Ovis aries: one gene and its partner. The protein of the gene in region 2 purifies or fractionates together with the protein of the main gene of each other region. This does not show direct contact. Links are inferred from orthologs where the notes say so. Each region holds a gene or a part of one and is shown on either strand. Other genes may lie near its edges.

Region 1 (4,114 bases), on a different chromosome or scaffold from region 2:
GAAATAGATGTTTTTTTGGAACTCTCTTGCTTTTTTGATGATCCAGTGGATGTTGGCAATTTGATCTTTGGTTCCTCTGCCTTTTCTAAAACCAGCTTAAACATCTGGAAGTTCACGGTTCAAGTATTGCTGAAGCCTGACTTGGAGAATTTTGAGCATTACTTTACTAGCATGGGAGATGAGTGCAATTGTACGGTAGTTTGAGCATTCTTTGGCATTGCCTTTCTTTGGGATTGGAATGAAAACTGACCTTTTCCAGTCCTGTGGCCATGACTGAGTTTTCCAAATTTGCTGACATATTGAATGCAGCACTTTCACAGCATCATCTTTTAGGATTTCAAATAGGTCAACTGGAATTCCATCAGCTCCACTAGCTTTGTTCATAGTGATGCTTCCTAAGGCCCACTTCACTTCACATTCCAGGATGTCTGGCTCTAGGTGAGTGATCACACCATCATGATTCACTGGGTTGTGAAGATCTTTTTTGTACAGTTCTGTGTATTCTTGCCAAACAGGAGATGGCAAGAGTGAACATCAACATTCTAGGAATGGACTGGAATGTGTGAATTTAACTCAGATGACCCTTATATCTACTACTGTGGGCAAGAATCCCTTAGAAGAAATGGAATAGCTATCATAGGCAACAAAGAGTCTGAAATGCAGTATTTGGATGCAATCTCAAAAACGACAGAATGATCTACGTTCGTTTCCAGGGCAAACCATTCAATATCACGATAATCCAAGTCTATGTCCCGACCAGTGATGCTGAAGGAGCTGAAGTTGACAGTTCTGTGAAGACCTATAAGACCTTCTAGAACTAACACTGGAAAAAGATGTCCTTTTCATTATAGGGGACTGGAATGCAAAAGTAGGAAGTCAAGAAACACCTGGAGTAACAGGTAAATTTGGCCTTGGAATGCAGAATGAAGCAGGGCAAAGACTAATAAAGTTTTGCCAAGAGAACTCACTGGTCATAACAAACAGCCTCTTCCAACAACACAAGAGAAGACTCTACACACATGGACATCACCAGACGGTCAACACCGAAATCAGATTGATTCTATTCTTTGCGGCCAAAGATGGAGAAGCTCTCTACAGTCAGCAAAAACAAGACCAGCAGCTGACTGTGACTCAGATCATGAACTCCTTATTGCCAAATTCAGACTTAAATTGAAGAAAGTAGGGAAAACCACTAGACCATTCAGGTATGACCTAAATCAAATCCCTTATGATTATACAGTGGAAGTGACAAATAGATGTAAGGGACTGCATCTGATACACAGAGTGCCTGATAAACTATGGACAGAGGTTCGTGACATGGTACAGGAGACAGGGATCAAGAACATCCCCAAGAAAAAGAAATGCAAAAAAGCAAAATGGCTGCCTGAGGAGGTCTTACAAATAGCTGTGAAAAGAAGAAAAGCAAAAGCAAAGGAGAAAAGGAAAGATATACCCATTTGAATGCAGAGTTCCAAAGAATAGCAAGGAGAGAGAAGAAAGCCTTCCTCCGCAATCAATGCGAAGAAATAGAGGAAAACAATAGAATGGGAAAGACTAGAGAGATCTCTTCAAGACAATTAGAGATACCAAGGGAACTTTTCATGCAAAGATGGGCTCAATAAAGGACAGAAATGGTATGGATCTGATAGAAGAGGTGCCAAGAAGGATATAGGCCCCAAACAAATTATTTTATTAATTGTAACTCAGATGATTTGAAGGCTCCCCACTTATAGCTCAGTTGGTAAAGAATCCATCTGCAGTACAGGAGACCCCAGTTCGATTCCTGGGTCTGGAAGATCCCCTGGAGAAGGGATAGGCTACCCACTCCAGTATTCATGGCCTTCCCTTGTGGCTCAACTGGTAAAGAATCTGCCTGTAATGTGGAGACCTGAGTTTGATCCCTGGGTTGGGAAGATCCCCTGGAGAACGGAAAGGCTACCCACTCCAGTATTCTTGCCTGGAGAATTCCATGGACTGTGTAGTCCATGGGGTCCGTAAGAGTCAGACATGACTGAGCAACTTTCCCTTTCTTTCACTTTCCATTTTAAAAAGACCTTTCTAATAGGGGAACAATACGTATTCTTGTAGAATATGAATATTGTCTCCCTAATGTGTTTATCTTAGAAGCATGGAATGCCTTTATATGGGTTCTGAAAGAGAACGGTCTCTCAGCCCAAAATGTGAGTGTGCTTTGGAGCAGAGTCCAGGGATACTGGAGAAGAGACGCTCACTGCCTTAGTGCTACTCCGCAGATGCTCTAAGGAGAACGCTGGCAGAAGATGCTGGTGCCGGGCATGTGGCGGCCTTTAGTACATATCTTACATTCCAAGGTAGCTTGTCCCACTGGCCTTATTGATCATAGGTTGTTTCTCTCCGTGATTGTGAGATGTCAGTGTGGGGTCTTCTGGCCTTCTAGAGAAGCCTGTTCTGCACAGGAGAGTAGGAACCCCAAATGTGGGGCGTATACTACTGTCCCTCACTATTTCTGGTCCAAACAGGGTGCTCTCAGCTCAGCTCTGCCCGAAGTAATTTAATAGTAACTGTGATTTGCTCTCAACTTTCCCAGAGCTGTTTGGTCATAGCTCTCCATCACAGGCATGATGAGAAGGCCAGAGAGAGGAGGTCAAGGATTCTTGCTTTTGCTCCTGGACACCAGCCTTCTGGGCTACACAACAAGAGTTACTAAGAGCTACTGAGAGAGATCCTCTTCAGCCCTTCTTGGTGGTACAGCCACGTCCCTGTTTTAAAATACCTCCCTGTGCAGTCATTCTAACTTTGACTTTTGCTCTTTGACAATCTGTGTTCAAAGAGAGATGAGGAGGTTGTATTTGTTATTCAGTGATACCTGCTGAATACCAGCCACCCGGAGGCACCTAGGGGTGGGGGACAGCCTGCTCCCTGATCCATGTGGGCCCCTATCAGGCCGCCAGCCCCCCAGAAGCCTGACCCTGAAGCCTCCGCAGCACTTGCTCAGTGCAGGCCAAGCAGCGCCGATGGAAAGAAGGCAGCTCACGGCTCAAGGAGACTTGTTTCGTTTCTAGTAACACCCGCCGGGCAGCAGAGGTCTGGATGGACGAATACAAGAACTTCTACTACGCAGCAGTGCCTTCTGCCAGAAACGTCCCTTACGGAAAGTGAGTGTGGCCCATGGCCTCTCGCTGTTTTGCTTCTTGGGATCGTGTGTGTGTCTGTGTGCGTGTGTGTGCGTGTGTGTGTGTGCGTGCGTGCGTGTGTGTGTGTGCGTGTGCGCGCGCGTGTGTGCGTGCGTGTGTGCGTGCGTGCGTGCGTGCGTGTGTGTGCGCGCGTGTGTGTGTGCGTGTGTGCCTGCGTGTGTGTGCCTGCGTGCGTGCGTGCGTGCCGTAAGCCGATCAGGTGTCAAAGAGGGGACTCTGCTCAAGGGTCGCGAGGGCCCTCTCGGGAAGCACGGCGGGACAGAGGAGTCCAAACAGCAGTGTGGATGGTCCAGTCCCCACTGCCTGCCCCAGCTCTTTTTCTCATCGGCAGATTTCCAGGTTTGATGTAGAGCCCATCTGTTTTTTAAATTTATCTTAAAGAATCTTGTCTCCTTCTCCAGTATTCAGAGCCGACTGGAGCTCAGGAAGAAACTTAACTGCAAGCCTTTCAAATGGTACCTGGAAAATGTCTACCCAGAGCTAAGGTGAGGCCCTGGGGCCGGGTTCCGCTTCAGAAGGACTCGGAGGCAGCCAGCGCCCACCGGGTGCAGGGCCTGGAGGTGGAAGGAAGGTCGTGTTAGGGGGAGAGGCCAGGAGCTGTGCCCCGCCGCTGTCCTCAGGCTCCCCAAGGGGGTGCCCTTGTCCCCAGCCCGCAGGCTCCCCCTGCCTGGGACTCCCCCTTGAGGCTCCTTTGCCCCCTGCAGTTGTGTAGGGACTGAGACCAAGGCTTGGCCAGCAGGGGAGAGCGCCCAGCAGAGGCTCAGATAACCACACTGGCCTGTTTTAATGCCTGCCCACTCGCATCCTGAGGCACAGCAGGAGGCCTATGGGTCTGTGGGCTTCAGGCTGCTCTGGACTTCATCTTCTTAGAAGAGTCAGCAGACAGGCTTGCCTCAGTGGGGCACATTCCTTTCTCTGACTTTTCCCAGTGCATTTCACAG
Region 2 (4,710 bases):
GTACCTGATTATAAGTAATAATCACTAAGAATAGAAAACTGAAAATAATTCAGAACTCCAATAATAAAGAAACTGTCACAAAATCAATGATAAATATAAATTTTTATGAAACCATTAACAGTCATGTTTGACAATATTTAATTAGGGGAGCGTGCCCTTGAACTCGTTTGATGCTCATGTTTCCAGCTACCTCTCTGTTATTTCTACTTGACTGTCTCACAGGCAAGAATAAATTCACTTTTAGTGCCCCAATCGTATTAAATCTGGTTTTCCACATCTTCCTCACATCACACCTCCCTCCCATAGCCAATCTATCTCCAAGGCCTGTTGGTATTTCCTCCCAAATTTATATTGAGCCCAACCACTTCCCTCTATTCTCACCATACCTATGCTAGTCCTTCTAGGACTACTGCAACAGCCTCCTAAATGTTTAACTCCTAAACACACTATTTTCTTCCCATAGCCTGTATGAACACAACAGAAATCTTAAACAGCATGATACAAAACGATATATCCAATAATTGCAATTTGGGAGAAAATGATTATAGAATAAAAGACGGTGAAAACACACTACTTAAGAAACAGGGGGCGGGAGTATATTTATATTTATCCTAATTGTATTTGTTTTAAAAAATCACTGAATAGGAACTTGTGGAGGAGGGCTAGAGAGCAAAAACATTCTATTATCTATTATTCGCTGCTCAGGCTTCCTCTTGCTGCAGAGAACAGGGGCTTCTCATTGTCACAACTTCTCTTGTTGCGCTGGCTCTAGGTCACTGGCTTCAGTAGTTGCGGCCCACCGGCTTAGTTGCCCCATGGGACCAAGGATGACTCATGTCCTCTTCATTCGCAGGTGGATTCTTAACCACTGAACCACAAGAGAAATCCCACAAGAACTTTTTGAGGTTTTTCATTTAAAGATAATTGCTTCAGTAACTTTCTAATGTGAACTTTTCGAAAAATAAATCCCATTTTTTTAACCGTTAGATTATATTACCTAATCAAATATATCGTTTGCAAGACAAAAATACACTAAAACGTTGATAGTCACTACTCTGGAAGCGTGAGGCAGAGATTCTGTTTTCTACTTGTACACATTCAGTGAATTTTCTAGCGTGAATGAGTAATTTACACGATCAGAAAACAGATGAACTTTTTAGAAAAGATCTTTGACACCGTTTCCGTCGGGGGTCAAAAGAGCGAGCAGGGTTGCGAAGGCTCCCGCTACAAAGGTGACAGGGTGGGTGTCTGTTTCCAGATTTCCACACGTCTGTGCGCTGCAGGGAAAGAACCATGAGGGAGGGAGAAGGCAGAAAGGCAGGCAGAGGATAGGAGCGAGCAAGCACCAGGCCCCAACGACTTCACTCCCGTGGTTACGTCCGTGGGCCAGGGAGCGCCTGCTTCGCCAGTATTGTCTCGTAAATATGACAGCAAAGAAGGAAAGGGGGACTAAGTTTGTAGCGGCCGCTGCGGAGCTACGAAAGCAGGAAAAGACAAATACGCCTTCTACACGCAATACAGCCCCGCCACCAGCAAAAGCAGTCACACCTCGGGGGAAACAACTGAACACCAGCTTGCCGGGCTTCTTCCAATCCCTGCCCCTTGCCTGGGTGTGGCTGCGGCGACGCACACAGGAAGGGGCGGGACATAACACTAAGCCCGCGTGCTGATCTCGCGAGAGCATTAGGGGGCGGAAGCACAGTCGGTGCAGGATGCGGTTCCTGGTTGCGTTCGTGTTACTGAGCGTCGCGGCAGCGGGTAAGAATTCCCCCCCGCCCCCACCCCACCGCAGTCCCAAGACCAGCCCCCGGTAATCCCACTGTCGCCCCGGGGCCCGTCGTCTTCACCGTGGCCTGTCAGCCCCTGACCTCACTCTTCCTTGCCCGAACCTCGCCACCGCTCCGCTCGCCAGCACTCCCCTCCCTTTTGCCCGTTGCAACGTTCTGAGGAGTTCTTTCTCCCCGACTGCCTCTCTTCAGCCAGATAGTTTCTCTGTTTCAGACTCGCAGCTCAATTCTGCTCCAGGCGCCGGAACAACCGCTCAGAAGGAAGATCAGGCTTCTGCAGGAAGCTCCAGGCAGCAGGTCTTGATCGCTCAGTCTAGGCTAGAACACAGTAACCAAACCTTTCTAAATCAGACCGACGCGAAAACCGACCCTGGCAATTCGGGAGCCACGCAGCGCCCCGCGAAAACCGACCCTGACCATTCGGGAACTGAGCAGCGCCCGACGGAAAGCGGCCCTGACAGTTCGGGAGCCGAGCACCGCCCCGCGGAAACCCACTCCGATAATTCGGGAACCGAGCAGCAGCGCCCGACGGAAAGCGGCCCTGACAATTCGGGAGCCGAGCACCGCCCCGCGGAAACCCACTCCGATAATTCAGGAGCCGAGCAGCGCCCCGAGAAAGCCGACCCTGGCAGTTCCCCCAGAGACCAGTCCAACAAGTTGGTCTCCAGCCCCTCTTCTGATAACAAGGAGTCCACCAAGGTTCATGTAAACACAGTCGCTGGCAAAGCTCTGCAGACTTCCAGAACTGAACCTGGGGGGAAAGTGTTGGCAGACCCCTCTTCTCCCCAGCGGGAGGGAGGAGGTAAGCCTTTAGAATTAACTGAAGATGTGGAGCCCAAGGAGACTGAAGAAGGGGATGCAGAGCCAGAGGAAGACGCACCACCCAAAGAAGGGAAAGAAATGGTTGGCCCTGCCTCCAGAGAGAACCGTGAAGGGACACTTTCGAATACCTGGAGTAAGAAGGATGACCTTTATAAGGATAACCTTGGAAATGCCAATGCAGAGAGCAGCCACTTTTTTGCATATCTGGTGACAGCAGCCATTCTCGTCGCTGCCCTCTATATCGCCTACCACAATAAGCGGAAGGTAAGGCAAGAATGGCCTTAAGAGGAGGAGTGGGATTTCCTCCTCTCAGAAAGCCTGATGTGTGAGTATCCATCACTCATCAGCCTGTAAGCCCTGGGAATTTAAGAAACAAACTTCCTGTTTTTTTTCCTGAGATCCTGCCAGGATTCTCTATTGGGTTTTCTAGGTTCTTTTTTTTCCTCCCTTTGTCTTAGAAATCATTTGTTTTCACATCTGTTTCCTCTGCCCTCTGCTGTTGCGTCAAGTGTGAAGCTTAGGACATTATTATGATTTGACCCAAATGAAGGTCTCCTCCCATAATCTTGGAACTTAGAATCTTTCACATCCTGAGAGAGGACCTGAGGACCTGACAGTTTGTATGTAGTTAAAGCAGTGATCTTCCTGTCTTCTAATTTCTAGCTTCCTCTCCCAAGCATTTGTCTTCCATCTGCAGGAACAGAAAGAATGGTTACAGAGTCTTCAAGACCAGCAGCAGAGCGCCCAGGGGTCTATGTTCTGCAGCTGAGTTTCTGATTAGAAGAAAGGCCAGAAATTGCATGAATACACTCATCTTTTACTTCAGCAGGGTTTGTTGTGTTGCTTAGTAACCACTCCCCAACGACAAAATAATTGCATTTCTTTTTTTGTTTTTAACTGAAATATAAAAAAACATGATGTGTAGTTGATTTACAATGTTGTGTTAGGTGTACAGCACAGTGATTCCGTTTTTTATATATATATTCATTTTCAGATTCTTCCCCAAATGATTGCATTTCTTATGAGCCCTAAGAATTTAGTAGTTTGTAATAGTCTGACTAAAATTGAAGGGTTCAATTCATGATAGTCAAAAGGCCTAGGGCTGTGAGAAATGAGAGAAGACATTTAGTAAAAGTGGTACATTCCTGGGAATTCCCTGACAGTTATGGGGTTAAGACTCCATGCTTTCACTGCAGGGGCCACAGGTTTGATCTCTGATTGAGGTTCTAAGATCCCCAATGCCACATGAATGTGGCCTTGAAAAAAAATTTTTTTAAGGTACATTCCTTATTCTACATCCAAGTGCTTATCATGGAGAGTAACCTTAAGTATGAAATGAGAGTGGTCAGGTTCAGATGAAATAAAGTGTGGGGTGAAAGAGTACATTTGCAGATTAGAAGTAATTATTGCTTAATACTAAGATAAAAGGAGGGGGACTTGCTTAGCCTGGAGGAGTCTCAGCTGGGGAGGAGTTGGCAGTTCTTTTCACTGTGTTGTTGTTCAGTCACCAAGTCCCGTCTGATTCTTTGTACCCCAAGGACTGCAGCATGTCAGGCTTCCCTATCCTTCACAATCTCTTAGAGTTTGCTCAAACTCATGTCCATTGAGTTGATGATCCCATCCAGCCATTTCATCCTCTGTCACCCCCTTCTCCTCCTGCCCTCAATCTTTCCCAGCATCAAGGTCTTTTCCAGTGAGTTGGCTTTTTGCATCAGGTGGCCAAAGTATTGGAGCTTCAGCTTCAGCGCCAGTCCTTCCTGTGAATATTCAGGGTTGATTTTCCTTAGGATTGACTGGCTCACTCTTGGAGTCCAAAGGACTCTCAAGAGTCTTCTCCAGCACCACAGTTCAAAAGCATTGATTCTTCAGCACTCAGCTGCCTTTATGGTCCAACTCTCACATCCATACATGACTACTGGAAAACCATAGCTTTGACTATACAGATCTTTGTCAGCTGAGTGATGTTTCTGCTTTTAAATAGGCTGAGTTCTCTTGAGTAAATCACACAGACTTCAGCTGGCTAGAGCCTAGAACAGCTGTCCTGCACCTGTCATTTCCTGTTTAGGATAAAGGGTTCTGATATAACTAGGCCCTGTCTTCC

What was found. Proteins that work in one complex are often made in the same cells at the same time.
Region 1: the proteins of TGOLN2 (region 2) and GALNT2 purify together in Homo sapiens (affinity purification with mass spectrometry; 3 studies listed by BioGRID and IntAct, counting the BioPlex papers as one, with this or other methods). This does not show direct contact. The link is inferred for Ovis aries from reciprocal best matches to the Homo sapiens genes TGOLN2 and GALNT2.

Annotation. Positions count from the first base shown.
Region 1 is NC_056078.1:1,811,746-1,815,859, forward strand, and holds part of GALNT2 (polypeptide N-acetylgalactosaminyltransferase 2), read left to right. Parts: intron 1-3,041; coding exon 3,042-3,134; intron 3,135-3,574; coding exon 3,575-3,658; intron 3,659-4,114. UniProt on the Homo sapiens protein: Catalyzes the initial reaction in O-linked oligosaccharide biosynthesis, the transfer of an N-acetyl-D-galactosamine residue to a serine or threonine residue on the protein receptor.
Region 2 is NC_056056.1:57,188,426-57,193,135, forward strand, and holds the start of TGOLN2 (trans-Golgi network integral membrane protein 2), read left to right. Parts: upstream 1-1,682; 5' UTR 1,683-1,712; coding exon 1,713-1,758; intron 1,759-2,001; coding exon 2,002-2,873; intron 2,874-4,710. UniProt on the Homo sapiens protein: May be involved in regulating membrane traffic to and from trans-Golgi network.